3 linked regions of the Bombyx mori genome follow. The main gene of each other region encodes a partner of the protein of the gene in region 2 in a complex. Links are inferred from orthologs where the notes say so. Each region holds a gene or a part of one and is shown on either strand. Other genes may lie near its edges.

What was found.
Region 1: mediator of RNA polymerase II transcription subunit 12 (region 2) and cdk8 share a complex: the UniProt entries of both Drosophila melanogaster proteins name them as parts of the cdk8 module of the Mediator complex. The link is inferred for Bombyx mori from reciprocal best matches to the Drosophila melanogaster genes kto and Cdk8.
Region 3: mediator of RNA polymerase II transcription subunit 12 (region 2) and mediator of RNA polymerase II transcription subunit 13 share a complex: the UniProt entries of both Drosophila melanogaster proteins name them as parts of the cdk8 module of the Mediator complex. The link is inferred for Bombyx mori from reciprocal best matches to the Drosophila melanogaster genes kto and skd.

What each region holds. Positions count from the first base shown.
Region 1 is NC_085129.1:10,513,006-10,517,227, reverse strand, and holds the start of cdk8 (cyclin dependent kinase 8), read right to left. Parts: upstream 2,903-4,222; 5' UTR 2,665-2,902; coding exon 2,419-2,664; intron 1,764-2,418; coding exon 1,512-1,763; intron 885-1,511; coding exon 695-884; intron 16-694; coding exon 1-15. UniProt on the Drosophila melanogaster protein: Component of the Mediator complex, a coactivator involved in regulated gene transcription of nearly all RNA polymerase II-dependent genes.
Region 2 is NC_085121.1:11,893,999-11,897,128, reverse strand, and holds the end of mediator of RNA polymerase II transcription subunit 12, read left to right. Parts: intron 1-49; coding exon 50-299; intron 300-376; coding exon 377-673; intron 674-758; coding exon 759-836; intron 837-922; coding exon 923-1,129; 3' UTR 1,130-2,499; downstream 2,500-3,130. UniProt on the Drosophila melanogaster protein: Component of the Mediator complex, a coactivator involved in regulated gene transcription of nearly all RNA polymerase II-dependent genes.
Region 3 is NC_085116.1:1,958,065-1,962,464, reverse strand, and holds the start of mediator of RNA polymerase II transcription subunit 13, read right to left. Parts: upstream 2,835-4,400; 5' UTR 2,711-2,834; intron 2,676-2,710; exon of another isoform or gene 2,637-2,675; 5' UTR 2,602-2,636; coding exon 2,533-2,601; intron 1-2,532. Other genes in the region: large ribosomal subunit protein mL50, read left to right, coding at 3,154-3,198, 3,273-3,358, 3,863-4,059. UniProt on the Drosophila melanogaster protein: Component of the Mediator complex, a coactivator involved in the regulated transcription of nearly all RNA polymerase II-dependent genes.

The sequences.
Region 1 (4,222 bases), on a different chromosome or scaffold from region 2:
CTATGGCCCAAATATCTGCAAATAAATGAGATTTTCTTAAATTACTTTTTTTTTTACATCTCTTTTGACTTGGTTTTAAACCGTGGCTCTACACATTTCGTCCAGGAAAAGTATCAGTATGAATACTTTCACTTTAAAAAAAATCATGTCAATCCATTGGTTTGTATTGACGTGAAAGAACAACATTTTAACATTACAATACACATATAATATTTTGCACCAATGAGTCTATACTTCATGAGCTCAAAATAATTGAGTGCCGCCTTGGCCTACTGCAGTCCCATATCCTGATATTTTTGAACAAGTGTCATGGGGTGGGAATCTTTCTATATTCTTCTTCGATTACATTATATTTTATGTTTACAATGAACTACTGATATGGTATGTAGTTCACAGAATGCACAATTACCGACCGGGTTTACTGAAATTTCAGATGAATTTTAGCTATGTTAAGTAACAATCCAAAAATGAAAATAGTATAATAGTTTTTATTTTCTAAGCTTTTTGGGATTTATTTAAATAATGATGAATTTAATAAAGTGCTACCAAGTTGTTAATTCCATGCTGAAGAGAAGGTGTTTTACCTGCCAAGTGTAGACGTCAATTAAGTAAAAATTACTTAAGTAAGTAAAAGGTAAGTACTTAATTTTATGTGGCTGTAGGTGAATTATTGTAAGAGTAATAAAATATATACCTATGGCCTTAGTGTAATGTCTGGCACCAAGCAACAGTTCAGGAGCTCTGTACCAAAATGTGACTACTACTGGATCTAAGTCAGCAAGTGGTTTCAAAGGTGCATTGAATAATCTTGCAAATCCCATGTCAGCTATTTTAACTCGGCCACGCTCCGGTCCTTCACCCATTACTAATATGTTGGCTGGTTTCTGGAGTATTAATTGTAAATAACATATATTGATATTGAACAAAAATAATATTTATCGATTCATTAAGTTTGATTTATGGTACACCAAAATAATCTATATATATAAAAATAATTGCTGTTCATTAGTCTCGCTAAAACTCGAGAACGGCTTAATTTTGGTCTTGAATTATTTGTGGAAGTCCAGAGGTTTAAAAGGTAGATAAATATGAAAATGTTCGGAATTAAATAAAAATAACAATTTTGTTTTTCCTTTGATATGTCCCCCGTCGGACGGATTCCTTCTGTTTGTTTTAAGTTTATTTTATGCAAAAGTTTGGGTCTTTTATTTATCGATTGAGGCACTACAAAGTCTGCCGGGTCAGCTAGTAATAAATAAATAAAAAAACAACAAATGCACATCATTCAACACAAAAAGAGATTAGTAAGACTGCCGTCCTAGTCTTTCTAATCTCTTCCAGGCCAACAGTAGAATTTCTATCAATTATAGTAATTTATTTAATATAATATTTATTATACTTTTATATATTATGTTATCTAATTTAGTATAAATTACAATTTCAATACAACATGAACTCATAGTATGTGAACGATTCATCATTATAAATATTACTATATACATCACACTCACCAGATCTCGATGCAAAACCCAGTTTGAATGTAAATAATGTATCCCATCCAATATCTGATAGAGGAGGCTCTTCACCATTCCTTTTGGCACCATAACTGATTTTTTATTAGCTTTAGCTGCTCTATGAAATTTGATTATATGCCACAAATCATGTTCTGCATAGTCAAATAGCAGCCAGACTTTTCGGTCAGTATGTGAAAGAAACACTCTAATAAGATTTATGACATTAGGATGTTTCAACTCTCTTAATAGCTAGAAAATAAATTGTTACACGAACTTTTTTATTATGATCTAAACCACACTACTATATTGTAGACCGAATATGAAGTAGAAAAACAGCTGATAATGCAATGTTTGTTTACAGTACACAATAATTATACAACACAACACAATCAAAATAGGTGTAATATCCCATGAACATATTATTTGAAATAATAATAGAAACAAGAATCAAAATATGCAAATTTTTTACATGGTGATGGTGAGTGGTTACCGTCATCCATGGACTTCAGCCAGGGGCTTAGCCAAGCCCCTGCCTACTGTTAAGTACTCTCCACAGCCCTCGTTTGAAGAAGGGCATGTCATAGCGCTTCGGAAACACCATGAAGGGGAGCTCATTTCAAAGCCGTATGGTACATGGCAAAAATATGTATGGAAACACACTGTGGATGAACTGAGTGGCTCAAGGTAGTGTGGACAAACTCTATTTCGGTGGTCGGCGGTGCGATGGTAAAAACGAGATGATGGAATCATTTCAAACAGTTCCTCATAGCACTCCCCATAGAACATATTATTATGGTAATAAATTCACATTTATACAGATATAAATTATTTAAAATTTAAAATTTTTATTTAAAATTAAAAACAAATTACTTAAATGAAATAATTATGTTGTATTTATACTTACAGCAATTTCCCTACATGCTGACATAGAAAGTCCAGTTCCTTCAATTTGTTTCAAAGCATAATCTTTGGTATCGGAGCCATCCTTCCTTCTGGCTTTATATACATGGCCATATGTACCTCTACCTACTTTACAGCCCTCATAGTCGAACAAGTCTTCCACTTTGGAACGTTCATTTTGAGTCTTGATTTTGAAATCGTAGTCCATCATCACAGCCGCCATGGTCTTATTTTGAAAGTTGTCTCCCATTGTTACGGTCGGGAAATGCAGTTTGGATCCCTGACTAATTAGGATTTATATTTTATTACACTTTAAATCATTTTGAATACCTTCCCTCACAAGTTATATACAAGACGTTATTCACTGAGCAAGTAATCACTACGTTATAACATTATTCTCCGTGAATTAGTGAAAAAGCCGTTATATCTAGTTCATGAGTGCAAATTATATCTATACTAGCCTAAATCTTTAAATTAAAACACTAAAACTAGCTTAAATAATTAAATTAAGTTTCATTCTCAAATAAATTAAGTGTATAATCTATGGTTTCATCTGCTTTTTTTTAAGTGATTTTATGACCTGGTAACTAAGACCTTTAAGTCATGTCTTATTTTAATTTATATTCTTATTTTTATGAAAAATGATAATATGGAGGGAAATGAAATGAAAATGATTAATCAACTGGGATGAAATTAAATGAAATGAGATGATATAGGATGAATATAATCTTAGTAAAATGGTGGTCATTTACTAAGATTTTTTCAGTGAACTTTTTGGAGGATCCCGAGAAGTTGCGTCCAGCGGCTTTGTTTCATTTTCCCACATTTGTGCACTTTCACAGATATTAAACAGTTAATAAACCACCGTTATTACACATTTAAACTTGAAGAAACACTAAATAGACAAAATAAAACAAATCACACAACTTCACTCCTCGCGTTCCCGCCAAAAAGTTTAAGTTTCATCTGTGATCATTAAAGTAGCCATATGCATATTTTTAAGGGATTTTACGACCTGGTAACTAAGACTTATAAGTCAAGTCTTATTTTAATTTAATGAAAACTTTTGTTTAATATGAAAAATTATAGAAATGAAATGAGATGAAAACGAAATGAAATACAATGAAAACGAAGTGAAATGAAACGAGATGAAATGATATGGGATTATATTTCAAATCTCAGTAAACTGGTGGTCATTCACTAAGACTTTTGAAGTGGACTTTTTGGAGGATCCCGAGAAGTTACGTTCAGCGGCTTTGTTTCATTTTCCCACATTTGTGCGCTTTCACAGATATTAAACAATTAATAAGCCACTGTTAATACACATTTAAACCTGAAGAAACACTAAATAGACAAAAAAAACAAATCACACAACTTCACTCCTCGCGTTCCCGCCAAATTATTTATGGTAATTTATGTCCGGGTAACTAAGACCTTTAAGTCATGTCTTATTTTAATTTATATTCTTATTTTTATGAAAAATGATAATATGGAGTGAAATGAAATGAAATGAAGACGATTGATTTGTAACATTAATCAACCGGGATGAAATGAAATGAGATGATATAGCATGAAATAATATAATCTCAGAAAAATGGTGGTCATTTACTGAGATTTTTTCAGTGGATCCCATATCATCTCATCTTATTTCATTTAATTTCGTGCCAATTGATTAATGTTACAAATTAATCATCTTCATTTCATTTCACTTCATATTATCATTTTTCATAAAAAAATTATAACCGATTAAGGTGTATGGTATGATACTTTTGCCTTCATAGTTGGAAAAATATAACTACTACTACTAC
Region 2 (3,130 bases):
GCTATAAAAAGTAATATAATATATCGTAAATCCTTCATATTTGTCACAGGCAAATGAATCCAATGGGGGGCATGGGCGGCATGGGACCGATGAATCAAATGGGAGGGGTACAGATGCCAGCACAAATGGCCGGAGGGCAAATGAGTTCGGCCCCGATGGGCGGTGCACAAATGGGCGCCGGACAGATGGGCGGTATGGGCGGACAGATGTTCGGCGGACAGTACGGCGGTATGCAACAAAGCTACGCCGGCTACGGGCAACAGATGATGCAGGGCGGACAGCAACAGATGATGTCTCAAGTACCCACATTATTTAATCACTAAATTTAAATATGTTAAAACTAAATATAAGCATTTAAATGAAATACTTGTTTTAGGGAATGGGACAGAGCGTTAGCCAAATGGGACAACAAGTCAACGCCATGGGTCAAAGTGTCAATTCTATGGGACAGAATGTCCCCCAAATGAATCAGGGTGTTGGTCAATCTGCACAAATGCCACAAGGCATGAGTCAGATGAACCAAAGCATGGCTCAAATGGGTCAACCTATGAGTCAGATGGGTCAAATGGGTCAAGCTACTGGTATGGGCGGCATGAATACGCAGGCTGGTTCAATGGGTCCTCAAGCTGGCAATGGCATGGGAGCGTTCGCTGGACAACAATCATTCCAGCAGGTGAATAAAAATGTGAATAAATTAAAGATTAGTGTCAAGCTTTAAAATTTCCTTAAAATAAAAATACTTTTTATTTTATTTGTAGAACATGATGGGTGGTCGCGCCACACAAGAAGCCTATTTAGCACAACAAAGACAAACCGCTCGACCGCCGTACATGCAGGTTCGTTCCCATGAATACCTATATACCTATAAACATCTAAGATTCACACTTCTATCCAAACTTATACTTGCTGAAACAAAAAACAGCAGGCGCCGAACGTGACGATGGGCGGCATGGGCGGCCCCGCCCCGCCCTACCCGCGCGGCATGCAGCCCCAGCAGAGCACGCAGTACCAGCAACAGATGACGCAGCAACGCATGCGGCAACAGATGCTGGCGATGCAACAGCAACAGCAACAAGGGCCGCTCGTACAGCACCTGCAGCGGCAACAGCAATATCAACCGCCCTATTGAAAATACACATAATCTATATATATACATAAATCAGTCAAACCGGCGTATGCAAGTGTATGTATGATTTTCACATTATCCAGATCTTATCGTTAGTAGTTTTACACACAACAATATAATAAGCATATAAATTATCAAACTAAAACCGACGATACTGTTACGATGAGAAAGCAAGCCAAGTCGGTCCCTATCCGGATTCGTTGCACTCTTAACGCGAACAGACGGTAGATGCCAAAATGCGATTGTCAAATGTGCGAAATTTCATTGCTAGCAAAATACTTGGGGTAAATGTTAGCGCTAGCTAGATTTGGCATAGTCGCATTGCTTGATGCAAGTAAACCGGAGTAATGTACCAAGAGAAAATAGCAAGTACGTTTCTATTGTTACTGTGTTAGGGTCCGTTCACACAGACCAGCTCGAAGAGCATCGGCCCGCTGTTTTATTTTCACACAGACCGGGTCGTCTACGTTTGGGATTGGCCGGAGTGGAGCCGCCGGAGCAGAGACCGACTGAAAGAGATCTGAAAGCGGAAGCGCACACAATCGGAGCCGGGCGGCTCCTCTTATTATTTCCGCGTTCAAGCATTCTTAAGGACAAATAAGTGTACATGCAAAAATAAATTTTACTACAATTACCTACTCAAAACTGTTTCCAACGGGAAAAATCTCCTCTCCGAGCCGGTCTGTGTGAACGGACCCTTATTAGTCCTTTATCTGTTCCAAATTACACATTTGTTTAATTAGAAAATTCTCTGAGTATTATACTAGGGTATTTACTGGCGATATGTATGTACGTACTACCGTGTATGTACTACCACCCTATTTGTTTTTGCCACGATGCGATCAGGCGTTCCGTCTTGAAAGATAGGGCTGCCATTATTTAATTACAATTAAGACCTTACATATATCGAGATGGCAGCGGCATTCACCTTGTTGTATCCAAGCACTAAGGTAAACGCTCAACTCCGTGAATTCGTCTTTCTGTATGTTAATAATGAAAAATGAAATTCGTAATCCCCTACACGCATCAATCACATACCTATCGTGAAAAACAGATTTGTTGTCTATGACCTTCGAATACATTAATATTTAAGTAGATTGGTTTGAAGAACACGTATTATTTATTTTAGTCCGGTTATTTAATTTGTAAAGAATTATATTAGAAGTAAGTAGTAATATAACAAATGACCTCTATTTGTTTAGGTTAAATCTCTTAGAAAATTATGACATACGAGTACTGTAGATAGCAATAGCTTAATAATTAACTAATTTTCTGTAATCATATTTTAGAGTTTAGTCATAACGTTTGAAATACGAAAACATCAAACATATTTTGTAAATATTTTTTTAGAAATAAAACTTTTGTAAAAAATACACATTTTTTTAATCTACCTCCGGTATACATTTATTACAAATAATTTTACGAAAATATGGTATGTGATACATTGAATATCCCATTTCAATTCATTAGTGATTTAGCATCTTGTGATCGTACACAAGCGTCGCCAAAATTAAAAAATACAGAGCATGGATTACCGGTTCTTCCACGAAGTCTCAGTTAATATTCCTTCAATTCATCAGATACATTAACTTCAATTCCTTTCCTTCATTTGATTGAATATTTAAGATAATTTAAATAAAGAAAACAGGGTTCTCGAATATATACCGAAAGTAAATAAAAACAAATTGTTTAACAATATATCGATTAAAACAGAATATAAGAAATTTTGTTTATTTTCCACTTCGTCTATCAGTAATGTGGAGAAATTGAAAATCGTAAAATTAGAATTTATACAAGCTAGAATAAAAGTAATCGAGAAAACGCCGAAAGAAGTCAATGTCACCGTTCTAATCTTATTCGAAATTAGAAATACTATTATAAAACCTATAGCCATAAATTCCTGTTTTTGTTTTGCAATAAATATTATTTAAAAAAACACGCGTTTATTAATTAATCATCGAACAGCAAATATCGATCTGTACACTGACACAAATGCACATATTA
Region 3 (4,400 bases), on a different chromosome or scaffold from region 2:
TCATTTATTTACTACCACGCTACTGAAGTATCATGATACTGCTACTTTTAAACTAAGCTGTTAAGCCTTAATATGTTTAATGCCTACGTTATTTGTACATTTTAAAATTGTGTACTGAGGGAGTTCATAATTTTTTTTTAATTTTTTTTTTATTGCTTAGGTATGTGGACGAGCTCACAGCCCACCTGGTGTTAAGTGGTTACTGGAGCCCATAGACATCTATAACGTAAATGCGCCACACACCTTGAGATATAGTTCTAAGGTCTCAGTATTGTCACAACGGCTACCCCACCCTTCAAACCGAAACGCATTACTGCTTTACGGCAGAAATAGGCGGGGCGGTGGTACCTACCCGCGCGGACTCACAAGAGGTCCTACCACCAGTAAAGTTCTTTAAAACGTTTTTCTTTTCATTAAGACTCACCCTCCCGCGTCAATTGGGTAATAGCATACTGTGTGCACAAATAAAATACTTCAGCAGGAGTGAAAGAAAATCCTAATTTTTATTATCTGTGTTATAATGTAATTTTAAAGTTGACGTAAGCTTTTAATTTATGACCCCCCGATTTAATGAGGTATTATTATTAGACCCCCCATTCGTTTTCTGTGCAGCTCCTAAAGGACTTTAATAAAAATTAAAGATTTTTTAGATTTCTTCCTGGTTAAGTCATTTAAAGTTTATAATCGAGTTTTAATTTTCGTACATAATTAAATATTTCAGATTTATTTTGTAGATACATATAACGGCAGTTAAATAATTATAAAAACGAAAACTTTCAACACCTAACAATCACAAGAGTTGAGTTGTTTTCTATGTGAGATAAAAATTAAGATTACGTTATGTAGTATTATTGTAAAAGTTATGACCTACAAGGAACTAAGGATTCATAACACTGGGAAAATATGAGCACATTCAAGGCGAAATTGAAGTCGTGCTCCGTATGCATAGAGGGCGATAAGGGGTCGGAGGCCGAGGGTGGGAGCAGTGTTCGTCAGATGTCATGAATAACTTAACGGTGGATTTCAACACTTTATGGTCACCATCATGTAACCAGATCGGTTATGAATATTTTCATTTTAGACTGAGAATGGTTTGCCGTCGTACGCCATTTTACTGTTCATCTAATGGCTATATTTAACGATTACAATATAAAAAAGGCAACATTGAATCGTTTCGAAACTGAACAAAATTAGGAATGTTTTAACCTAGTAGAAGACAAAGGGCCACAAGTGAACAGGTAATCTGTCCGCACGCGAGTAGTGCCTGGGCGGAGGCCCGCTTATGGGAAAGTTACAATCATTACGACCATTCATAAACGGTTGAATGAGCCGCAAGACGCCTGCGCAGCCGGCAAACCAGTGCGCGCGCGCACACATCGCGACATCTGTCTTGTCGCGGAGCAGACGCCGCTGTGTTGCGATACCATCTCGACGCCGAACGATCTCCTCAATATTTCATCTTTTATATCCTGAAGCCATAACTCAGCCCAAGGAAAAACCTATTTGAAAATTATATCTGACAAAAACAACAGACTAAAAGAGTGTAATGAACCCGTCAACCTAGCAACCTCTGATGCGTCATCGCAGTCATCGCGCTACGTAAACGAGTACAATTCCACACGACAAAAGCTTGTGTCCGCAAACGACGCATAAATAATTAGACAATAAGCAGGCAGGGCAAGAAATCGGTAATTTGTATCGTGTCGAGATAGGCGGAGCGCAGAGGGAGACGGGTGCAGGCAGGCGCGCGCCGCCGCGGCGCGAAGATATGGCAACGCGTCAGGTGGAAGTGGCGCCCGTGCTGTTCTCGCTTCTCGCCGAGGACGACCGAGCGCCCCCGGCTCCCCGCACCTTCAACCCGCACCCGCTAATCCTCACCCGAACACAATCTGATAAAATTCGCGCCAGCTATGAACATTACGCAAAGTCGTTCAACACTATAAGGCACCGATAATGAATGACCCCGACGATTTCTATACCATGCTGTCATACATAAACATTCGAAGCTGTCTTGCTATCGAAAGATAAAGCGAACAATTTCAAACGTATGAAAGTTATTTCCTCGACTTGGCGAAACTAGTCTTGCGAACGCATTACGGTCCGCGTTACGGCCAGGTGAATTTAAAATGACCTCTATGGGCCGGTGGCTTCTCATGGCCTCGCTAGCCGAATGCGTTGACATTTTGTGGGTTAGCAACTCAACGTGAATCTGTGGTGTCGCGAGAACGATGCCAGGATGACTAACAAACAGGCGTCATTAGTTGTTTCTGTGTAAATGGTCTCATACTAAAATTATAGCGCAATAAGATCGATTAGGAAGTCCGATTGCAGAGAGGCGAATTTCGTATATCAACGGCCGATGACGATAATCAGATCGTCCACTTAACTGTCGTGGTCTCTTTAGTTAGGAATTCTCAAAAAAATGTGGACACGTAGTCAAACAATAGTGGACTTCACAGGTGTCACACACTTCGTAACGATTTCGAAAGAAAAGTACATACGAGTTCTTTCATCAATGTAAAAGTGACTTACCAAGGCGAAGAAGTTTGTGTGGCAATCCTCGAGACTTGCACCGTTTGTTTGGTGATTTTGATGCGTCATGGTAGTCCGGGGCACTTCATTTTCATTTCACAACACTAAAAACAGGTATAATCTTAAAGAAACCACTCAAAATCTTAAAATCATCACCGACATTTAGCGTAGTTTTCACCTCTCAATGGCGACTGGAAAATGGCGGAGAGGAAACAACAACCCAAGCCGACAGTGCTGCACCCAGCGGCAGAAATCGAAAGCTCATTTCGTCCAGAAACAATTACAATTCGTTCAACAATAATTATTAAATACAATTCATAATAGCTATAAATTAATTAAGGAGTCTTGTTCAAACGTTATAATTACTTTAGCAGCTTTTTAGACAAGGGCTTTGGATCAAAAACACCTTTTGACAGTCCAATAAATACGGAATTCAAGTTATAAAATTTATAGCTGGGACAACTCTGCGTTTAATGGAGTTACGCCACCAACCATCCTGTGGATTTGACAACTTCAAAAAAGTAAATATAGGTTATGGTTATGCTGTTCGCGAAAGATAACATTGTTTAAGAATTATAAATATAACAAAACTGACTAGTAGATACCAAAAAAAATTAAGAAATGCTCAGAAATGTATTATCACCCTTACGTCGTGGAAGTTTCCAGGTATGTTTCATCAGTATCTCCGCGTTCAAAACGCTCTTAAACAATTTAATGAAAACAAATATATTGTTTCACAGGTCACATCTATCAGACAAGCTCAAAAAAAATATCCCAAAGTAGATAAAAAGGTTCAAGCAGCGGCAGAATCCTTAGCGGCAAGAGGGTAACTAAAAAAAACCAATTCATGTCAATGTGTCAATAACAAGTCTTTTTGTTCTTCTCCAGAGGGTAGATGAGTTCATGGTTTCCCTGGCTTAAATTATTGAATAGAATCCATAGACATTACAGTGTGAATGCTACATCGAGATATTATGATAGTGTTGTTTGATTGTCACAAGTCAAAAGATTCACATGCTACTTAATATACATAAATCTTAATGATATACTTAAAATCTAAATGCTGCTACTCACCTTGAGACATTTAGATCTATGACACTAGATTCCGTGCCAACTATCATTATTAAAAAAATCTAAATAATTAAAAAAAAGAAAATGCATAGAAATATTTTGTTGCGAGCATGTTTTTTTGTAAATAATTCATGGCTTTTCTTGATTGAAAATTTCATTTAATTACATTTAAATTTAATCAAAGTACATTTTAAGGTATTGTTGCTGTTTAGAGATTCATATTACAGTATAAGATTTAAGTATTTTTTATTTATTTAAGCTTCCTACGTCCCACCAAGTCATGGGATCCACCTACAAACATCAATGAAACAATTCTGAAAATATGTGCAACATGTGGATTAAATGGAAATTCAGAATTTGAAGCATTGGACACAAAATTTACAGTTCTCAAAGCTTGTTATGAAGAAACAGGCCATAGTGTGCCTAATTCACTTTTGCATACAATTGAAACAGTTGGTTGGTAAACAATTCTTAATATTGAGATTGAAGTAGATAGGTACTCAAGTAGCCAATACCATTATACACATAAGAATAAGAGGACTATTAGTGATTGATATTCAAAATTAATTCAGATGAATTATTAATATGAATGATGAATGATTAATATTTAGAATATTACAATTGACATGTCCTTCTTCAAACGAGGCTTGTGGAGAGTATTAAGCGGTAGGCAGCGGCTTGGCTCTGCCCGTGGCATTGCTGAAGTCCATGGGCAACGGTAACCACTCACCATCAGGTGGGCCGTATGCTCGTCTGCATACAAGGGCAATAAAAAAAAAAAACCTTTTTTATTTAGT